Drosophila melanogaster: one gene and its partners. The protein of the gene in region 3 interacts with the protein of the main gene of each other region in a pairwise test. Each region holds a gene or a part of one and is shown on either strand. Other genes may lie near its edges.

Evidence for each region.
Region 1: the proteins of eEFSec (region 3) and Sbp2 interact in a two-hybrid assay, tested with the Drosophila melanogaster proteins (one study listed by BioGRID).
Region 2: the proteins of eEFSec (region 3) and GAPsec interact in a two-hybrid assay, tested with the Drosophila melanogaster proteins (one study listed by BioGRID).

The regions. Positions count from the first base shown.
Region 1 is NT_037436.4:8,301,104-8,308,447, reverse strand, and holds Sbp2 (SECIS-binding protein 2), read right to left. Parts: upstream 4,292-7,344; 5' UTR 4,256-4,291; coding exon 3,762-4,255; intron 3,701-3,761; coding exon 3,480-3,700; intron 3,427-3,479; coding exon 3,200-3,426; 3' UTR 3,123-3,199; downstream 1-3,122. Other genes in the region: BI-1 (Bax Inhibitor-1), read left to right, coding at 1-356, 484-654, 1,068-1,112; Gr66a (gustatory receptor 66a), read left to right, coding at 1,468-1,708, 1,770-3,112; CG7194 (uncharacterized protein), read left to right, coding at 4,458-4,626, 4,958-5,829; CG13671 (uncharacterized protein), read right to left, coding at 6,236-7,344.
Region 2 is NT_037436.4:8,618,917-8,626,604, forward strand, and holds GAPsec (GTPase activating protein, SECIS-dependent read-through), read right to left. Parts: upstream 4,986-7,688; 5' UTR 4,859-4,985; coding exon 4,839-4,858; intron 4,772-4,838; coding exon 4,692-4,771; intron 4,634-4,691; coding exon 4,161-4,633; intron 4,019-4,160; coding exon 3,495-4,018; intron 3,443-3,494; coding exon 3,328-3,442; 3' UTR 3,123-3,327; downstream 1-3,122. Other genes in the region: S-Lap1 (Sperm-Leucylaminopeptidase 1), read left to right, coding at 1-104, 167-307; S-Lap2 (Sperm-Leucylaminopeptidase 2), read left to right, coding at 1,228-2,280, 2,336-2,800, 2,857-2,997; Zasp66 (Z band alternatively spliced PDZ-motif protein 66), read left to right, coding at 5,567-5,767.
Region 3 is NT_033778.4:21,381,999-21,389,557, forward strand, and holds eEFSec (eukaryotic translation elongation factor, selenocysteine-specific), read right to left. Parts: upstream 4,224-7,559; 5' UTR 4,154-4,223; coding exon 3,895-4,153; intron 3,838-3,894; coding exon 2,561-3,837; 3' UTR 2,554-2,560; downstream 1-2,553. Other genes in the region: bisc (biscotti), read right to left, coding at 1,563-1,839, 1,905-2,164; Acox57D-p (acyl-Coenzyme A oxidase at 57D proximal), read left to right, coding at 4,684-4,825, 4,917-5,079, 5,144-5,436, 5,500-5,905, 5,967-6,579, 6,653-6,808, 6,873-7,133; Acox57D-d (acyl-Coenzyme A oxidase at 57D distal), read left to right, coding at 7,501-7,559.

The sequences.
Region 1 (7,344 bases), on a different chromosome or scaffold from region 3:
TTCTCGATCTTGGAGTCCTGGCGGCGGTGGCCACTCTAGTCCTGGTCTTGGGTCTGCACTTCTACAAGGATGACGGCAAGAACTATTATACACGTTTGGGCATGCTCTACGCCTTCGGATTCTGCTCCGGCCAGACGCTCGGACCGCTCCTCGGCTATATATGCAGCATAAATCCGGCAATAATCCTGTCTGCCCTTACGGGCACCTTCGTCACCTTCATCTCGCTCTCCTTGTCCGCCCTTCTGGCCGAGCAGGGCAAGTACCTCTATCTGGGTGGGATGCTGGTTAGCGTCATCAACACCATGGCGCTGCTGAGTCTCTTTAACATGGTCTTCAAGTCCTACTTCGTGCAAGTGGTGAGTGCCCATTAATTTGCGTATTAATTTGTATCCTCTAAATCTAATTTCTAATTTCCATTCCAAGGCATTGAAAACTGAATATTTCATAATTGTAATACTTAACAAATTCTTATTTTCCTTATAGACTCAACTTTACGTCGGCGTTTTCGTTATGGCTGCCTTCATCGTCTACGATACACAGAACATTGTGGAGAAGTGCCGAAACGGAAATCGAGATGTGGTGCAGCACGCTTTAGATTTGTTCTTCGATGTACTCAGCATGTTCCGCCGTTTGCTGATTATACTGACGCAAAAGGTATGTTTCCGCGACAAGGGTTTATCCCAACGATCAGTTGTTATATAGCCCCCTTACCCAGCTCAAGACCTTCATGGTTTAAGATAGCTCAAGCCGGAGCCAGTTGCCCAAAATAGCTCAATCAGATTATCCTCGAAAACATGCTGATCACTTTGCAAAAGCTTCCAGTATAAAATTCGATGTGAAAAACCATTTTAAACGGTATTTCCTGCAGCCAAGGCAATAAGTGTACTTTCACAGTCAGGCTAGGATCCTTAGGTCTATATAAACCACTTGTGGGAAGTATATTTATTTCCAAAAACTGCCAATGAAACTTTTTGCAAAGTTCTCTAGCTGTTTGTGAAATTATATTTATGTCCTTTGCTTTTGCACCGTTTAAAGGCAATACCAGTAATGCTCTTAATTATTTGCAGGAGGAGCGAAAACAGAATGAACGCCGCCAGAACAAAACTAAATAAACTTTTATGTGTAACAGCCACCACAAGAAAAACATCTGACACGGATTTTGGAGGCAGATTTCTCATTCTAGAAAATTATTCGCATTGAATATTAATAATGCCGTGTACATTTGGCTTTAAATTTACAGACATATATATCCAATATAAAACCCATGAAATTTTTCCATTTAATAAACACCACAAGAAGTAAGCTCATCCGCGTTTCTTGTCCCAAACATGGCGCAGTAGATAGACCATGTTGATAGTATCGATTAGGGGCGGAGGGGTCAATTAATTAGGCTAAGTGCACTCTGCAGGTAATAACTTGATGTTAGTGGGAATCGGTTATTCAAAGCTGTAGTGTTCAATGGACAACATGGCGCAGGCGGAGGACGCAGTGCAACCACTATTGCAGCAGTTCCAGCAACTGTTCTTCATATCCAAGATAGCTGGAATTCTGCCACAGGATCTCGAGAAGTTTCGATCTAGGAATCTGCTGGAGAAATCCCGTAATGGCATGATTTACATGCTGAGTACTTTAATACTCTACGTTGTGCTCTATAATATTTTGATATATTCCTTTGGAGAGGAGGACCGCAGCCTAAAGGCCTCGCAGAGTCAGTTAACCATCCGCCTTGAAAGGTGCAAACTCATAACCATGTTATTCATTCTTCCCAGGCACCTTGACTTTCGTGATTGGCTTGTTCCTGACCTATATCGGTCTGATTATGATGGTCTCCGACCAGTTGACCGCGTTACGAAACCAGGGTAGAATTGGAGAGCTTTACGAGCGCATCCGTCTGGTGGATGAGCGCCTTTACAAAGAGGGGTGTGTTATGGACAACAGTACAATTGGACGGCGCATACGAATTATGCTGATCATGACGGTCATCTTTGAGTTGTCCATTTTGGTGAGCACCTATGTCAAGCTGGTGGACTATAGTCAATGGATGTCCTTGTTATGGATAGTGTCCGCCATTCCCACGTTCATCAACACGCTAGACAAGATCTGGTTCGCTGTTTCGTTATATGCGTTGAAAGAACGCTTCGAGGCCATAAACGCCACCCTAGAGGAACTGGTGGACACGCACGAGAAGCATAAGCTGTGGCTGCGAGGCAATCAAGAGGTTCCGCCTCCTCTGGACAGCTCCCAGCCGCCTCAGTATGACAGCAACCTGGAGTATCTGTACAAGGAACTAGGAGGTATGGACATAGGTTCCATTGGCAAGAGTTCAGTGTCTGGTTCGGGGAAAAACAAAGTAGCACCAGTGGCCCACTCCATGAACTCCTTTGGTGAAGCAATTGATGCGGCCAGCAGGAAGCCTCCACCGCCTCCCCTGGCCACTAACATGGTCCATGAAAGCGAGCTGGGAAATGCCGCTAAGGTAGAGGAGAAACTAAACAACCTGTGCCAGGTGCACGACGAGATCTGTGAAATCGGAAAAGCTTTGAACGAGCTGTGGAGCTATCCCATTCTATCTCTAATGGCCTATGGTTTTCTGATTTTCACTGCTCAACTTTATTTCCTCTACTGCGCTACACAGTACCAATCGATACCATCGCTTTTCCGTTCCGCCAAGAATCCCTTCATCACTGTTATAGTTCTAAGTTATACGTCTGGAAAATGCGTGTACCTCATCTACCTGAGTTGGAAAACGTCGCAGGCCTCCAAGCGCACAGGAATCAGTCTGCACAAATGTGGCGTGGTGGCCGATGATAATCTTCTCTACGAAATTGTTAACCACCTATCGCTAAAATTGCTCAACCACTCGGTGGACTTTTCGGCTTGCGGCTTCTTTACCCTGGACATGGAAACATTGTATGGTGTGAGTGGCGGGATCACTAGCTACCTGATCATCCTGATTCAGTTCAATTTGGCCGCCCAGCAGGCCAAAGAGGCTATACAGACGTTCAACTCGCTTAATGACACCGCCGGCTTGGTTGGTGCCGCCACCGATATGGATAATATTAGCTCCACGCTGCGTGATTTCGTCACCACGACCATGACACCGGCGGTCTAAACTTTGTTTTCTTGAATGTTTTATTCGATGTTTCGAGCACGTCCTCCTGGCACTTTTACTTATATTTATTTGTCACGAAATAAACTCTCACGAAGCAGTTCTGCGTTTGTACTCCGCACGGGCATCCTCTATTTCATTAAGAAGATCTGCGTAGGTTGCATTCGCTCCGTCAAAGTCAAGGATAGCAACGCAACAAATTTGCGCTCGCTTTTGGAGGGCATAAGAAAGCTCCCTTCTCAGCAGAGGAAAGCAATAGGGCACTTGTTGCTGCTGGCATTGGAATTTCAAGCCTTCTATAGTCGCATCTAGACCACCTTTTTAAGCGGATATTATTAATGGCTGATTTGCGAACAATTCGATTACTCACTTTCGCCGGGGCAGATTTCGCAGTCAGTGGCCAGGAACAACAATTTCACCTTGTTTATCCTTAGCCTCGCCAGAGCTTCTCGAACACCCAAAACCAGGCGGGGATGTGCACGCGCTTTAATCTCGTTTTTGGCAAAGGCGCGCTTCTGAAATCGATCCAGGTCCCTTAACAACTGAGTGGACAACTCCTTGAGGCGAGGACGGGTGCAGTTGTCACAATAGCTGGAAGAGATCAAACATGATATTTCAACGTTTAAAGAAGGTACAACCAGTGTAATCAAACCTTCTAAATCGCCGTGAGTGAATGGCATGTACTGTTTTTGCTTGTGAAGGGTTGTTGGGTGCAGGGGTTTTACTAAGTGATAGGTTTTGAACTTGTTGCTCCAGCGGAATAGCATTCGGATTGATATCTTGACCAACTACTGGGACTCCTTCAAGATCATTCTCTGCGACTTCTCTCTCCGCCTTCTTTGAAGTGCGATATACACGTACGGACTTCTTCAACCTGGTGATCTTCTTCTTGGGATCAAGGCGGGTTTTGCCCTTGGGTTTGTAAACTATGTAGCTACCTCTTGTTATGGCTAAATGTGTCTTTTGAAGTTTATGTGCCTTTGTTTGCCTTTGTGTTTTTGGTCTCGGCTTGATGACAAAGTCCAGAAGAGAGGTTTGCTGCTCCCGTTTCCTGTGCTGGTTTTTGTACTTGGAGCTGCGTGGAGTAATCTTGATCGCTGTATCCTGGACATCCTGATTCCTGCTCCTCCTTATTTTTTCAGTCATTTATTGTGGATTCTTAGTGCATCTCTAAAATAGTGTTGGTCGTCGCGGTAAATGGTGAAATCGCTTTTTCACCACACATGAATGCGAAGAATCAGCGCGGTACAACAACGTAATTAATAAAATCAAGAACCGCAGCAAATGCGGCCTCATTCGTTCCTAAAAGTTTTGATTTGGAAGTTCAACGTTAGGCTTCTGTGAAAAAATGAGTACCGCTAATCATTTTCAAAGAATTCTTGAGAAATTGTCAATCTCTGACAATGAAAGGGCCGTATATACCAAGGAAGCCGAGGAAATTCAAAACTATGTAGTTGACGAACTTAAGCGGGTAGACAAAACCTTTCGCCAGGTATTCGACGGACTCAGTCTTGGAGGTAAGTTATTTAATTTTAAATATCTACATATATTCTACATATATTCTACATATATTTCTATATAAAAACAAAACAAATAAATAGAATAATGTTAGTTACAAGACATTGTCTGGTCGATTTTCTAATGCATTCAATATTATTTTTAATAAAAGTGTAAATTGACGGAAGTAATACAAATGTAAGTCGAGATAATCCAACGCTATACAATTACAATTGATATCTCTTGCTTTATTTTGTTTTATCATTTTTGCAAGAAATGTTGTACTTTCGTAAATTCATCGTTATGTATGTACATTATGTACCTAAAAATATATGTACACGTATCTTTTAGGAAGTTACTTGGATCGCGTCAAGCTAAATTTGCCCGATGAATTTGATCTGCACATGAAACTAAAGTTTCCATTTGATATCCGACCGACTCGGATCGACCAAGGGTTTATTTATTTAGAGGCTGATCTCACCGTAATCAATCCCCAACGCATCCATCGTATTGTACTTCAAGACTGGCTACGCAATGCATTCCGCAAGGTATTCAGGTCTAATCAGACAATTGCCACTACCAGTAATCGAGTCTACAAATTAACCTATACTCTTGAGGGGTATGGTTGTGCCCATACCATTTTAGCCGTTTGTGGTAGTCGCTCGATATCTTTTGATTTGGTACCAGCATTCGAATTCTCTGGAAGCCAATGGCCGTTTGATATTTGCCCGGTTCCTGCTGATGTTAGCAATAATTGGCCATGGTTCGCCATTCCGCAACAGAAGAAGAAGTCGGCTAAACCGAGAACCACATTCATGGTTTGTGCACCACATTGGGAGCGCGAAATTATGAAGGGCAAGGATAATTTGAAGAACGTTCTACGGCTGATGAAAGGATTGCGGGATGCCCACGCCAGGAAATTGCCTCACTTGTCCAGCTACATGTTGAAAACAGTTTTGCTTCATCGCCTCGAAAGTGCTGACTGGGAAAGAGACCTGGGCACCCTATTGGTTGAGATGTGGAGTCATTTGGTGGATCATCTACGCGCTCGTAGACTGGAGTTCTTTTTGGCTAAGGATCATAATGTATTCAATCGTATGAATCAAAATGAAATCAAGATATGTCTAGAAAACGCAAGCACTCTGCTAAGAAAGCTTTGTATTGCTCAGACATGCGGTGGTAGCTACCATCATGTGGCCCAACTATTCAATATTCCAAATTAAGAAGAATTTAATTTCAAAACAATACCGAGCCTTTTTCATGCCATTTGCAGAAAGGAAAAAGCGTACATGCACACATTTGGCTCATTCACAAGGGCGCAGAACAAATATTCGATTATATCCGAGGCTGAATAAGCACATATCTTGCTGAGTAACAGAACTTTAGTGGAAGAAAAAAGAAGTTGAATCAAAAGTCATTTCGGCCGCACATTTGATTGTTTACATTGTCCCTGAACTTTGTTTAAAAATAAAGCTACGAAAAAAAATTGATTTACCCTTTGTTTATATGTATGTATATTTATACAACTATGAGTGTTAAATATCTTATGAAGAGACAACTTTAGCCTTACGATCTACAGGAAATATCAACGGTAACTTTTAACTAAAGTTATATTTCAGGGGGATTTCGCTATAATCGAATGCTGCTTTCGATGGACATGTGCAAGTTGTTGAACTCCCTTAGGTGCGAAAGGATGTCGTCCCGCTCCCGTTCATAGATATCCCAGAATTTGAGATATTGGTTAACGTGCTGGAGTACCAGGTTGCGGGCAAAGTCAAGACAGCTCCTAACGTTACGCATCCGCCGCCTGCAGCTGGTCAAGACCGAACGCACCTGCTGCTCCGGCTCCAATTGGGCGATCACAAATGCAAAAACGTTTTGCACATCAATCCGCACATCGGTTGGGAAAACCACGGATTCCGCGCTCTTTGCCTGGGGGAAGACAATTAGAGACGGCGTGGTTGGCATGGCCAACTCCCAGGGCAGATCATTAGCCTGGCTATCGAAGCGTACAAAGTGCACCTCGGGGCTGCCGAGCAGCGCCGAAACCTGCAGAAATGCTTGGGATAGAACGGCTGACAGAGCGCAGTCAGGACGATGCATAAATACCACATTGGTGACATTTGGTCGCTGGATTGCCTGCAACAGCATCTGTCTATTGTATTTTCTACTGAACCCAGATTCCATCATGGCAAGAGCATTTTTGTGAGTCCTTGGCAATGTTCTGGCGTAAAACTGCCGTATAAAATCTTTAAGAGCTACGTAGGAGAATGTGTGTTGCTGTGGCATAACATACAGTGACTCTTCAGCCGCATCCAAGATGAAAACCTGCACCTGCTGATGGGTTTGCTGAATGCCAAGCTGGTGTAGATAGTCTCTATATTTCACAGAATCGAAGATCACCACGCCCAGCGACCGATTGTGGGCTGCGCGCTCCGTCGAGTGCTGCCAAATGAGCTGGCCATATTTGGTTACCATTTTGGCAATGCCGATTTTTATGGCCGGCGTTCCATGCTGTGAGTGTGCCAGGCAAAGGTTTCTGGAGTGAAGCCGCAGCAAGTGGGGGACGTTTCGATAACTCGGATGGTTCTGGTGCGAGTACTGCCTCCATAGGTGGTTTAGATACCTATTAATCCGATAATAGTTCTTAAGTGTGGTCTTGTTTTTACTCCAGGCCGGGTAACATGTCCGGGTTTGTTCACCATCCCCAAACAGCTCCTTGGGAACTTGATTTAGGG
Region 2 (7,688 bases), on a different chromosome or scaffold from region 3:
GACGAAGTGATGTCCAGAACTACGGTATCGGTCGTGGTGGACGCCCTTGCAAGGCTGCCGCCTTCCTTCGTGAATTTGTGCCTTGCGGCCAATGGATGCATATTGTAAGTTGCACTTTGCTTAGCATGGCTTAAATTATATTCAACTAATACTTTTATTCGCCTAGGATGCCACCAATGTGATGGTCACCAACGGTATTGACTTCGAGTACCTGCGACGCGGAATGGCTGGCCGACCCACTCGTACTCTTATCGAATTCATTGCACAGACGATCTGCAAAGACACCGCTCCCAAGATGGGCAAGTAGGACGAAGTGCAGAGATCGGGCCATGAGCAGCTGACCGAAGATGCGAAATCCCAACGGCAGTGACAGCGCTATCACTATGTCCATATTTTGGTGAAATATTTTGAAGTCTGTGCAGGATGGATGTCTTTAGTCAGTTCGTCAGCGTCCCCTAAAAATTTCCAACGACATTGTTCCCAGGGAAAAAATGTTTGTTCGTTTTAAGTAAACATAAACATATTAAGCAAATTAATAAAAAAAAAACCTTAAGATGCACTCAAATCGAAATTTTTTTGTAAATGGTTCTTAATGATATTTGCAAATATAATGGTTCTTAGAAATGGCATGAGTACTTATTGGGATACAAGCCTATGCATATTGGCTTTTCAATAAGCCTATACAATATATTTAGATATTTCATGGATATCGCCTTTGGGGAATTTATGTAGTTGAAGTAACTTATACAGGAAAATGTACATTGTAATGAAAATCGAATCTGTGGTATGCGTAGTAATGGTATCTAGCGATTTTATGACTTTTATTGAGTGCATTAGACAGTTGCAAGAACATTAACCTTCGATTGCTATTTTGTGCAAAAGCATGTTGCAAATCGCAACACAATTGACATTTGGAGCATTTCATCTTAAGAACATATTCTCTAAAAAATTCGCACTTAGCAGGCAGAGATTTTACATTAAAATCCTGATGATCTAGCAACCTTATCGAGACTAATGTCAGTGCTACGTCGGAACTGAAACATAGGACTAGCTCAGTCTTATTTTTATTCGTTTCGAGGTTGAACACGTACACACTTTTAGCTAGTCTGGGTGAAAAAATTTCATGAATTATTTTGAAGCGGCACAGAAAATCGAAGAGAAAGTTTTCAATACTAGTAGTAATATTATTCAGCATTCATCAAAGTTTTAAGTTAAACTTCAAGCAAAATGTTTCGGTTTTCTCGCAATGCCATAACCCGGGCGTGTAGTCTCTCCATTCGTCGGCCGGAGGTGATCCGTCATCGCAGGTACGCCTCGCAGGCGATCAACCAGATGCTGCAGCTGCAGCAGATGGAGATCTGCGCGGATCCTCCGTCGCGTGGCTTGGTCGTTGGAGTCTACGCCGACGAGGAGGACAAGAACGACGCTGGCATCCTGACGCCAACCGGCTGGAAGTACAATGTGCAGAAGACGCACGGTCGGTTGCTAGAAGTGCTGCGAATGTCCGGACCCATGCCCAAAAGGGGAGAGACCCGCCTCCTGTTCGCCGTGGAGCCGGAGCGCGTGCCCTACTATTCGGCGGTGGCAGTTATCGGTTTGGGTAAGGAATGCCTGGGCTATAACCCATACGAGGTGCTCGACGAGCAGAAGGAGGCCATCCGACGGTCGGTAGCGGATGCCTGCCGAATACTCGCTGAACTGGACACCGACCGCATCGAAGTAGAGAACTGTGGACACGCCGAATCTGCCGCGGAGGGAGCAGCTCTCGGGATCTGGATCTACCAGGAGCTTCGCGATCCCAAGCGGCGAATCTCAGTGCCTTCCATCGATCTGTATGCCACTAAGGATGAGATTTGCGACATAGAAGGATGGCGTATCGGCCTGCAAAAGGCTGCCGCGCAGAACCTGACCCGCCAGTTGCAGGAGATGCCCTCCAACCTTTTGACCCCCACTGCCTTTGCCCAGAATGTCGTCGAAGTGCTTTGTAAGTCCGGCGTCAATGTAGAGGTCAAAGTCGAGGGTTGGGCTGAGAGCCAGTCGATGCACGCCTTCTTGGCGGTGGGAAAGGCCTCTTGCGAACCACCAATCTTTCTGGAGCTGAGCTACTACGGCACCTGTGCCGAGGAGCGACCCATCGTCTTGGTTGGGCAGGGAGTGACTTACGATGCAGGTGGTTTGTGCTTAAAGGAGAAGCAGGAACTTTTCCACATGCGCGGAGATATGACTGGTGCGGCCGTAGTGGTGGCCACTTGTCGTGCTGTCGCTGGCCTGAGGTTACCGGTAAGTGACTGGATGACCCGATGTTATTCCTTGGATAACCATATATTACCGTTAGGTCAATATTCGTGGACTAATACCCCTGTGCGAGAACGTTATTGGATGCAATTCCTTCCGTCCTGGAGACATGGTGAAATCCATGAATGGCAAGACCATTGAGGTGCAGTGCACCGACCACGAAGATGTTCTAGTGCTGGCGGATGCCCTTCTGTACGGGCAGAACTTCTGTCCGAAGTGCATCATTGACATTGGCACCTGCTCGGGATATATGCGCCAAGCGTTGGATGAGGCTGCCTGTGGGGTGTTTACCAACTCTGAGATCCTTTGGCAGCAGATCAAGCACGCCAGCATGCACACTGGAGACCGCGTGTGGCGTTTCCCCCTGTGGAACTACTACAGCAAGGCGGTGCGTGCCGGTGGACGCAGTGATGTCCAGAACTACGGTATCGGTCGTGGTGGACGTCCTTGCAAAGCTGCCGCTTTCCTTCGTGAATTTGTGCCTTGCGGCCAATGGATGCATATTGTAAGTTTTGTTTTTATTAGTTGTAGGACTTTGATTTGATTTGTGATTTAATCCAGGATGCCACCAACGTGATGATCACACGTGGTGATGAGTTCGAGTATCTGCGAGAGGGCATGGCCGGACGTCCAACAAGGACACTCATCGAGTTTATTGCACAGTCCATATGCAAGGACACAGCTCCAAAGCTTAACAAGTGAACCTTCGAACGGTGTTTAAGTTTAATGAGACGATGCCACACGTTCATCGGTATTCTTTTAACGACTGACCAACCTATGACTTCTTTAACGTTCTGACGTTTATCTAATTGGGACCACGAAATGTTAAAATTAATTCGTTTATTAATGACATACAAATTATAAGTCATGTAAAAAAGTGAAAATGCGTGTACTTATTGGACTTCCTGTAAGGGTGCGTTTCCAAGATTGGGGCTAACTAAAGTATAGTTGATTGCTTGGTTCTTTCAGTTGTTAAACTAACTAGGGGGCTTTGCAAGCATTTGGGCACAAGGATATATTTCTGGAGGAATGCTACGCCAATGATCCGGCATGAGCAATCACAACATTAATGTCAATTGGCGGATAGTTTTGCAAGAGTTTCACATTCGAGGCAAAGTCGTTTTCCAAAATTGCTTCCCTTTGGATTCTGCAAAATTTCATATTAGTTCTTGCTTTATACTAAAGCTAAGTTTACTTACAATATCATTGAACAGCATATTTTTATCAGAAAATCAAATCGCTGTTCGTCCGCAAACACGGAATCCCAAATGCGCAGTACATCTGGCAGTGGAAACTCCTGCGACAGGAGCAGTGTGAGCCACCTGAAGCTGTAATACTGCGGATGCAGCTCTTGGCTCCTGAGTAGCTCGTAAATGCTTAGGTCCTTTGATTTCAGCATATTCGATAGCCTGGCCATCATGAACTTGATGCCGCCTTCTGCGTCGTCTAGTGTTTTAATAAAAAAGTCTCTTATCTCGCTCATCAGGGCGGTAAAACAAAAGAAACAATCAGCCTCAGCGTGGGCGCGATATGTGAGGTCAGGATCGGAGGCCATAACATAGTAAATGGGTCCCACGATTTCGTTCATGCCCTGGACATATCCCTGGCCGGGATTTAGTTTGGCATAGATGAACAAAATGCGTTGCACAACTTCCCAGTGAGCCTCTTGGCCCTCCTCCATGGCGGCATAGTTTTCAACGGAGCGTTTTGTAATCAAATTTATCTATATAGAGCACACATATTCATTAGGTTTGGGGCAGTTCCAGATGGGCTTACTTACTTGCTGCTAAAATCCACACGGTATGCATGAATGAAACAACACATTCTGAGCTTATTGTCTAGCACAATTCCGATCTTGAACTCACCTTTGTCATGCCGAGGCCCTTGCGTTCCACATTCGCCGAACTTAGAACGGCGGGAACCACCCGTTCGTGGAGCCTTCGTCCATGCTCTCCTTTGCTGTGGACCACAATCTCGCAGGGATAATCGGTGGGCTGCTGGAAAAAGGATATGTCCGGGCACAAGCGGCGGACATCCTTGTCGATTTGCAGTAGAAACTCGTTATCATTGAAGAACGTGTTCCACGCGCTTTCGGGTCCCTCGCTCAGCGGATGATCTTGCAGGCCAACGCCCCCCGAATCGACTTTGTCCCCATCTCCTCCGTCTACGCTAGCTCTATTGCTCGAGTGTCCGGGGGGCAGGACTAGCTCCTCGATGAACTGTTTATACAGGGCTCGCTTTTGGGCCAAGGTTGTGGTCCAACTACTGCGCCTAGGCCCCAAATAGCCAAGGAGTAGCTTCCAACTGAGTGCTCGAAAACTCTGCACATCGGGCACACCTGTGGAGTGCTCAGACTTCAAATTTTGAACATTTCAAATGCACTCTTAGCTTTCTACCATTAAATGCCAGTTTCCTGAGTTGTTTCAGGTCAATTAAATCCTGTGGCCCCGCCAAAACATCCTCAAATTCCTTGACTCTGCATTTTGGTTAGAGAAAGTCTTTGTTTACGGAGAAGTTTGGATTAGCTTAGAATAACAGCTTACCGCGCCTTGAAAATAGACATGCTGCGGCTTTATGTGGGCGGGGCTATGCTGAGATCTTGCAGTACCCCTATGTGTAATTAATTAAAGCTTTATCTCAGTTTTATGCTGGGTGAAATCTGCAGGTATAAAACACAACAAAACAATGGGCGTTGCCAGATGGTTCGAGCTCTAATCGATTATTCTCTGCGACTATCGATTTTTGAGTGCATTGGGCGGTAAAATTCAAAGTTTTTAACGATTAAATTTTATAAATAAATCGAAATTTTAAATGGTTTACTGTCCTCGTAAAAATGTATGTAATTACCTTCTGTCTTAATTGTATTGTTCTTTTTAATTAATTAATTGAAAAACTGTTTTTAAGCTGGTTGCCAGATCTTGTAAAGCTGAAGGCGCTATTGTTTAAATTGTAAATGAAAATGATTAAATCATGATTATTAGATATTGCTTGTATGTATTTTCTTTGCTCAATCAAATTTACTAACTGAAACATCAATTAATCCATTCATAATTCTCCGCGTCTCACTATTTCACTGGATTTTGAATGAATAATAATATTCTGTTTTCGCTCATTTTCTCTGATTTTTTCTCCGCTTTTATTTGATTTTTCAATTGCCTACTAGTGCACACACACACGCAGTCGCGAGCAGACGCGTTCGAATCGTAGAATTTAGCGCATATTTCTGAATGTGCGGAGCATTTCTTTTGTTTACTCTAGTCGCTGGCCAGCAATGACGACCAGCAGATCATCGGCGTCCGCGTCATTCAGTCGACCGGCTTTCTGGAAGGTGCCCGGTTACGAATTGCCCACGTCCTATCGTCCACAGCCGACCCCAAAACCGCCGCTCGTACCGCTGCCATCGCCCTGCAGGCGGCGCAGCAGCAGCGGACTGAAGAAGCGCGTCCATTTTGCCGATGAGCAAAACGTGGGGGTAAGTCCAAGTGGCCGAGAAAAGTGGAAGCCCCAACCCCTTTCAAATCGCCCGGCTTGTCAATCATCGCGCGTGTGTTCTTTTCTTATTCGTATTCCAATGTATTTGTGGCCCCAATTCACAACAGGCCGACTCAGAAATCAGTTCAATAACATTTCGCCCCTTGCGGCTCGTAAATTTGTCAAGCCAAATCTAATTAATTGGCCACTGCTGCACTTTTCGGTCAAGTAAAATGGCCCAAAAAAGATGGATGGATCTATATTTCCATTGGCATGACTTTTATACCATTCGCAAGACGTTGGGTGAAGAATTTCGAATGATTTACAATCCGCTCAAGGCTGATCTACAGCAAAAGTCACCGTAAAAACATTACACGAATTCCAATTGAAAATGAAATGAAAACAATTCAAGCCGCAAATAGTAAAAACATTTCAAGAGCCAGCCAAAAAGTGCCGAAATCAGAATGTATAAAATTAAAAATGAAATGGCAAGCCATATATTGTGTATATATTCAGCGAAAAGCCAAAAGGCAGGAAAAGATTTTTCCGCTGTAAACAGTAAAATTGTTGCCAAAATCGAGAGGCAGACAGAATGTTTAATACAAACCAACGTCCTTCAACCGTTGACCCGTTCATATTGCGTATACGTCACGTTGGCCGTAGACTTTTCCATTGACTAATGCATTAAAAATCTAATATGATTTGCTTATTTAAATTGGGCAAGAGTGTCGAATTGGTTGTTGCAGTTGTGCTAGTACCGCCTCAGTAACTAAAACTAATTACACTCTCTCTTGGTTGCCTCATCGTTCGGCAAACAAGTCGGAGAGGAATAAAACACTAATAAAATAGTCGAAAATGTCGAGGAAAAACAGATGCCTAGATACTTGATTTTTATGCTTTTTTGCATCAGGCGAGCTAGCTCATCAAAGCATTCGCCTAGATGATGATATGTGGCATTCATCTCTTCAGGGTCAGCGTGCAACTGGATCAAGTGCTGCCCTAAAATGTGGTCAACGAAATGCAGAATGCCACAAATGCAGGGCACACGTCGAATTAAACAATGGGAACAATGTGGGAAAAGGTTTGAGTTTGTGGTGGCTTGCGGATGCTCTTCGCGATTTGGGTATATATAATAATGAAAATAGTAAAGCTTTAAATACATGGCACACATGCAAGCAATCATGTTTATTAACACTGCGTATGCGTAATTTGATATGCAGCCGCTTATCAAGTATACGCCTAATTATCTTGTGGTAATTATGAGCTTTGCCGAGGTAAATGCTCCTGATGCTTTTTGAATCCACGACATCCGCTCTGAGAAATTCAGAGTGCTCTTAGCGGAAACCCCATTTAACGATTAGGATTCGCCAATCGAATTCATGTTTCTCAGCATGTAGTCGCCGTTGCCGGCGGATATAAGTTGTACATGTATGTACATATGTGTATGTAAGAAACAAACTTGTGGCGCAGTGTACTCTGCTGCCGCTGCTGTTGCTGCAAAAAGGAATACGAATTGTATTTTAAAATTAGTACTTGAGCAGCTTTGCGATCGAACAAAACGCTTAACGGATTGCAATCGCGCGCCGCCTGCGGCTCGGCCAGAAAAGGCCAGAAAAAAAAATAAACAATAAAAAATAAATATATATTTTCGGGATAAACCATCGCTGGATCGGATGAGCGTCTGATCTTCCAGTCTATCTTCAACATCAGGATGAGCCCCAAGCTGCATGAGTTTGCGGTGGTGCTACTGCGCGATGGTCAGGCCACGCCCTGGGGCATTCGTTTGGTGGGCGGCAACGATCTGGACACGCCGCTAATTATCACCAGGGTAAATGGGCGTTATATAACCAGAGAGACTGTCGCCTTGTGGTCGCTTGTGGTCCATTCATCAAAATTGAGCCAGAGAAGAAATGCCTGAGGAA
Region 3 (7,559 bases):
AACACATTAAATAGAAGGCCAATTTTTGTAGTCCTTAAATTCTAATTAAAAATTATTTAGAAAATAATTGGGTAAATTATTATACTTCATAGATATGAATAGATTTTAAATCTTCATTCAAAGTGAATTAATTTTTTTCCTCTCTGTGATGGCCCTCCTTGTCCCATTCCAGAACGACACCCCCCACCACCCCGGAATGTTTACACAGGCGGCACGACATTAACACTGTAATTAGGTGTATCCAGTGTATCCACTGCGACATACGAGTATCAACAACACATTGTCAACTTCTTCTGGCTTCTGGCCGGGCTAATTGAAAAGCTCTTTTGCACATGTCCATTTATCTATATAACAATAATGTGGGCGGTGGGCGTGGCCGGGGTCAGTGCATTGCCAATTCGAAAGGGCTGGCCAAGGGGGCGTGGCCATTTCGTAGTATTACTTACCGTTGCCTGGGACAACGTGCAACAATACCCAATATGCGTACAGTTTCAGGGGAGTGGCTCTAAAACTGTTGGCAAGCAGTTTGAGAAGAATTGAAAAGGGACTAAGAATAGTTTTAAATGCCGATTTAACGATATATTGTACGTTTATAAAAAGCCTGAGGTGAATTACTGCAATGAACATATATTCAAATGAACTCGTGTAGAGCTGAAAAACAAACCTTAAAGCATTTGCTGGCCAATCATCCCATTTGCATGCTATTCGCAACACTCACCCATTTCAAGATAAAAACCAAACTTGATCTTAATTGAGAGCCTAATTAAAACGCATCGAATTACAAGCGACCACGGCCATGCAATTAAAATCGAACAACTTGCCGGCTGATGCGTCGCCGCTGATAAATTCGGAAATGCCAATCGGATGAAAGGGCCAGAAGAGCAAATGTTTTCCGAACAGAAAAGATCATCCGCCGCCACCGTCGCCTCTGCAATAGCCCAGTTTGTGCGTAATCGTTCTCCGTTGATGATGTGCTGCTCTGGTGTCTGGGCGTTTCGCCGGTGAGTCAACAACGTCAACAAGGCGGGATGTCGCCGGCACTGTGGCTTCTCCGTTTTGTTCTCTTGTTGACCAATCTCTGTCACGCCGAAAATGTTCGCGAGTTCAAAGTACAAGTGGGCCAATTATATTTGCCAAGAAGTGCGATTGTTCGTCCGCGAGCTGAAAGAGGGAATTCCACGGAAGATACATATACATACATATACACGGCATACACGACAGACTAATTAAAATCGTTAGTTATATTGGCAAACAATTTGTCTATGCGGCCTATACAAGTACATAGATGTAGAATTGTATGAGGGACCATGTACATTGGTAACTAAGTCTAAACAATGCAACTTAGGCTACGCAAAGGAAGGGTGGCAACAATCTATACACTTATCAACTAGGAGGGTACGTAATGCACTAATCCGGAGTCTCGATCCGAACCGAAGCGATCCATTGTTCGATCGGAACGGATCCGCAGTCGTTGCTTATCGTTAGTGTCATAAGCCGTACTTAAGGTATAACAAGGACTTAAAGTGATCTACTGTACACCAGGCGCTGTGCTGCCTTAACCATCACCAGTCGTCCCTGGGCAGCCGGTACGTGGTGTTGTCGCTGCGCACGATGTGGATGCCGGCTCCGTAGTAGGGTATCACATAGGCGGAGCCATCCGCCGGACCCACAACCTGCAGGGCTATCAGCACGATGTCAATCAGCTGGCCCAGGAACATGCCGCCGAGGGTGCAGAACTTGAGGAGTCCGATGCCCGGATAGCCCAAATAGAATCTATCCACGCCGAACATGCCCAGAAAGACAGAGAGTAGCAGTGTGGTGTCCAGGTGATAGCCATTCCTATAGAATAGGAATAGAATATAGGTCTTAAGATTATGTTTATGAGATACTGTAGCTGCACTCACGTCCACTTGCAGGGCACTTCTCGGGTGAACGTGGCATTGCCAGTCTCCGTGCAGTTGATCTCGTTGGCGGCGATGCACCAGACGCGGGCGCGACCCTCCCTGGTGCATCCGGCCAGCTGCTGTGTCTTGGGATCGATTTGACCCCTCGCCGGGTCGGGGCACATGAACTGGCCCATCATCTGGAGCTCGTTGCAGTCCACATTGATCTGGTGGGTTTCCTTGGCGAAGAAGAAGAGAAGGAGCAGCAGCACTGGGAACATGGGTGGTGTTCTTTTTGGCCACTTCGGTTGGACAGGCGGTGGTGGTGTTCTGTTGGCGGGAGCTCTTTCTCGCGGGTACTATCTGTTGTCGTTTTCGATTCCGGTTTCGATGTTTTGTTTATTGCAGTTCGCGGGGGCAGGCTCCAAAATTGTTGTTGTTTTTTAACATTGGCATTTTGGGATTGGGTCAGTGTGACCGCACTCGGAGCGGTCGCAAATACCACTGTGCAGAGATCTAAAAATATACCGAAAGTTTTATGGCTCTAAAGGTATAATGTTAGAAAATAACAGCAATTTAACAGCATTAGTACATTCTTAAATATAAATGGTCGATAAATTTACCACCTTGGCGGAATATTTAAATTAGAGATAAAAAAAACCTAGTTATTAACTTTGTCATTGAAACAAGCCTGCCTGTTTATTGAACACATATTTCTTACAGTTCAGCAAAACCTTAACATTCTTCACATTGCTTATTGTTTCAGGAGATAGGGCGTCCTGAAAAGTTATAGCCACTTTGGATGTCTGGCCAAAGGTGCGTTCAATGCGACCCTTCTCTCCCGTCGAGAGCTCCACATTCTTGCCGACGTACAAATCACGTTTGGCGTCCTTAAAAAGGTTTTGAACTATCACTTCGCTGCTATTGACCACTCGCTGAATGCTTCCCACTTTCTGTTTGCGCTTGAAAATCCGCAGTTTCGGCAGTTCTTCCTGAAAGTATTTGGAACTGTGCGTCTGCCAGGCAATGCGTCCCCAAAACGCCAATCTACAACTGGTACTATGGACATCCATGTCCAGCTTCGAAGCAATCAGCGTTGAATGTGGCGGAGATAGAACAGGACTTTCGAATTGCAACAGAGCGTAGATCACATCATTATGTTGAACCTCCGCAGGCTGGACGTCCTCCATATACTCGTATTCTTTGTCCAGTTGGAAAGTGGAAGTTGTGCCGTCCGTATCCCGAAACAAAGTTACATTGGCCATCACTGTGTTGTGTCCCACGGAGATGTGCATCTTCCTCATAGATTTTATGACTTCCTTGTAATAGCGGATGGGTTTAAACTGTAGACACACGGCATAGATGGGTTTCAGGTAACCCGGTTGGGTAATGATTCCACGCTCCAGCAGCTTTGCATTGAATTGTGTCACGCAAAGCCCAATTCTGTCGCCCATAGAGGCGCTGGTCACGTTTTTGCGAAACATCTGTATGGACTTCACTTTCCTTTGCTCCCCAAGAGCTGGCAGCTCAATCACATTGTTTACCTGAACCTTTCCCTGGAGCAGAGTGCCAGTGCAAACGGTTCCCTGGCCCTTTATTCCGAAGCAATGATCAACGTACATGAAGAGTGGATCGGCTAGGTTTCTCTGCGGCTGAAAGTAGGCTTCTCTAAGTACTTCTCGCAACTCCGCGATATGTGTTCCTTGCAAAGCAGACACAGCACATATGGGCACTTGACCACCGAATGTGGTGGCTTCCAAAGTTTTTGCGAGCCGCAAGCGTAGCTTCTCCAGCTTGGACGCCCTCTGATTTTCTGGATAAACATCTATTTTGTTGATCACTACAATCAGCTTTTTCTGCAGCAGCTCCCCGATAATGAGGCATTCTGCTGTTTGGGTTTGTTTGCCTTTTTGGGCGTCCACCACCAGGAGCATGAGATCAATGATCTGGGCACCTGCAATTGTTTAGTTTAGCTAAGGGATCTTAGAATGACATTAAATGTTATCAATACCTCCTATAATAGTGCGTATAAGACTTGCATGGCCGGGGCAGTCGACAAAGGTGAACTGGAGCTGTTCTCCTTGAGGTAAGTGCGCAGGAGCATCCACCAAAAGTCCACTAAAGCCCAAATCCAAAGTTATGCCTCGCTCCACTGATTGCGGATTCTTGTCGAAGGCGGCCGTGCTGGAAATCGAACTTAAAGCCTTGGCCAAGGTGGTCTTGCCACTGTCAACATGTCCCAGCAAGCCAATATTAAAGTTGATCGGCATTGTACGCCGAGGAAAAATGAGGTAAAAAATAGACTGCACTAAACCAAACAATAGAAATCCAATTGAGATGGAAGTCTTTCGATTTTCTAATAACCGATAACAGTGGTGTTAGTTAACAGAGAAGTGTAACATGCTGCTATTGACCGATATCTGTGTTTAGTGAGATGATCGCAAGTGATCTAAAACTTGCTATCAGTTTACTAATTTGAGTCTTAACATCTGTGGGGGCAAACCTATTTTTTTTTTGTTGGTATTCAAATCTTATCTTATTAATTGTGCTTACCACCCTGATGTCAGCGTAATAAGGTAGTAAAGTGGAGTATGCATCCGATTAAATTTTGACCTGGGATCCAGCGATTACCCAGATAACGGTTGCGCCATAACAAAGCATTCAATCAAAAACACTCGTATCGAAAGAGCAAAGACTACAAGTTTCACTTATATTTATGAAGAGCCATCGGCTGTTTTAAAGTCAGTAAGCGGTCGGTGCTCTTGGCGCGCAGTTCGCAGGTTTTCTAAATCTAGTTGTTATGGCCTCTTCCACTTCGGTTATCCCTACCACCGTAAATCCCGATCTGCAGAAGGAACGAGATGCAGCCAGCTTTAACAGCGAAGAATTCGCCGCTTGGTGGGCGGGGGGCGAGGAAGTGCTAAAGTTCAACCGCGGCGTTCGTAAGTCCATAAAACTAATCATCGCTCCGCTTATCAGTGGGAACAGATAATTTGGGGTCATGCTGACTGGGCTGTTTTTCTCTATGACCAGGTGAATATATGGAGAAGGATGTGGATTTGTCGGAGATGCTGCAGCTGCAAAACAAAACCCACGAAGAGATCATCGAGTTTTCCACGCGTGGAGCAATCGAAGGCGCCAAGAAGCTACGCCGCCTGCAGGAGGAGCGCAATCCTGGCGGAGATGTCTACTGGCCGTGGGTGTTTCCTGCTTACCGATGCCAAGTACACGAATAATGACTGATTACCTTACTCTTCTAGGAATTTGTATGACGCTCAAGTGATGTGGGGTCTCGTTCCCGGTGGCAATCCTTTTGGTGTGATGTACGTGATGCTGGTGAAAGCTCTGCAGGCTCAGTGCACTCCGGAGCAGTATGAAGAATTCGGCAAGCGGGTGGAACTCTTCGAGATTTGCGGCACCTATGCCCAAACGGAACTGGGTCATGGAACCTACCTGCGCGGGCTGGAAACGCGTGCTGATTTTGATCGAAAGACTGATCAATTTGTACTCAACACCCCCAATATTTCCTCCTACAAGTGGTGGCCCGGAGGCTGTAAGTTCTGGCATGGTGATCCAATCGGTTTTCAGATATTAAAGTTTAACTATAAATTTTCAGTGGGCCACAGCTCCAATCACTGCCTGGTTATGGCTCAGCTGTACATCGACGGCGACTGCAAGGGTCCGCACATGTTCTTTATTCAGGTGCGTGATGAAGACACCCACGAACCACTGCCCGGCGTCCACATCGGTGATATTGGCAAGAAAATGGGCTTCATTGGCGTAAACAATGGTTTCCTTGGATTAAAGAACGTACGGATTCCTCGTACGAGAATGCTGATGCGACATGCTCAGGTGAAGGCTGATGGATCCTATGTTAGTAGTCCCACCAATGTGCTTACCTACTTTGCCATGGTCCGCACGCGTTGTGTAATTGCCAAAAACAATGCCGTGATGTTGGCTTCTGCTGCCACCATTGCAACCAGATACTCGGCTGTGCGCCGTCAGAGCCCAATTAATCCCAAGTAAGTTGTTAACAACGTAGATACATTTATTCGAATTCAATTGTCCCTTGTTTATTTTCAGCGAACGAGAGCCTCAGATCATGGATCATGTTACACAACAAATGAAACTCTTCCCAGAGATTGCCACAAGCGTGGCATACCGAAAGGCCGGTGATTACTTGTGGAATCTGTACGATGTGACCATCGAGGATATAGAAAACGGAAAATACGAACGTCTGCCGGAGTTGCATTCTCTGTCCTGCGCTTTGAAAGTTACCTGCTCCATGGACTCCGCTTCTGGTGTAGAGAAATTGCGACTGGCCTGTGGTGGTCATGGATTCCTCACCTCATCCAACATGAGCAGTATATACGTTAGTGCCACCGCAGCTTGCACGTATGAGGGTGAGAACACCGTACTGCTTCTGCAGATCGGTCGCTTTTTAATGAAGACGTGGCGAGCCGCGTTGACTGGAGCTCCGTTGCCGCCCACCGTTCGCTATTTGGCCGAGGTGCAAAAGAATCCGGAGTTTGGCACCTGGACTGGAAGTTGGGAGAACATGGTTAAGGCCATGCAGTATGCAGCTGCCAATAGAACACAGTTGGCATTCAGGAGCCTTTCCAAACGTATGTCAAGGGGCGAAACTGAAGCGAACGCAGCTAATCACACGGGCATTGAGTTCACCCAGGCGGCAGAGGTTAGTGTGCTAAAGTGACTTGGACTGTGCCCTACCGATTTCTGAAAAACTCTAAATTTTTTCTTGCCCATAGCTCCACGGACGTGCTTTTGTTTTCAGTGCTTTCTATGAAGCAGTCACCGGTCCTCAATCTAAGACGCGCTCAGCTAACTTCAATCGAGTCCTGGAGAACCTGTTGGAGCTGTACCTAGTCAAGGAGACACTTAATCAAATGGGTCACCTGCTGAGAGTGGGTTTCAATTATTTAGCCTAGAATGTGTTGAATGTTAACTTAATATATTCTTATTCCACAGTTCATTAACTTGACCGATACGGATCTCTCCGGGCTGCAGGATCGCTTGGAAACAGTGCTCACCAAACTGCGACCAGATGCTGTGGCCATTGTGGATGGCTTTGACTTCAGCGATCTGCAGCTGAACTCCACTCTGGGCTCTTACGATGGCAATGCCTACGAGCGTATCTTCGATGCGGCCCTCAAGAATCCGATGAACCAAAAAGCAGTGCCTAAGTACTTCCATGAGATCCTGAGGCCGTTCATGAAGTCAAACATCTAGTGCCTTGGACAGCTGTTTATTAAACCACCTATCTAGAGTTAGGCTCAATGTAATGTATTGTAAATACCCCATATGTATTGGTGTTTTGTATTATTTTTGTAAATAATACTCTTTAATAATATAGACCCAACATATACCGCTCTTTAAATGAATTCTTTGCCAAGCCATGAACATCTGCTGCTTTGTCGATCAGCTTTCTCTCTTGAAAAGCTGTCTTGTGCACTTTGCCCCCCCAAAAGCTTTTCATTCTCGCCGATCCATCCACTTTCGCTCAGTAGTCGCGTGGAGCTCACAGCTGTTGATTGGATCTAGTGGTGGATCATAGTTTAGTTGTTAACAATTCCGTATTTTTATTTTGCACACAACAATGTCGCATATTAAAAACCTAATACCGAGCACAGTGAATCCAGATCTTCAAAAGGAACG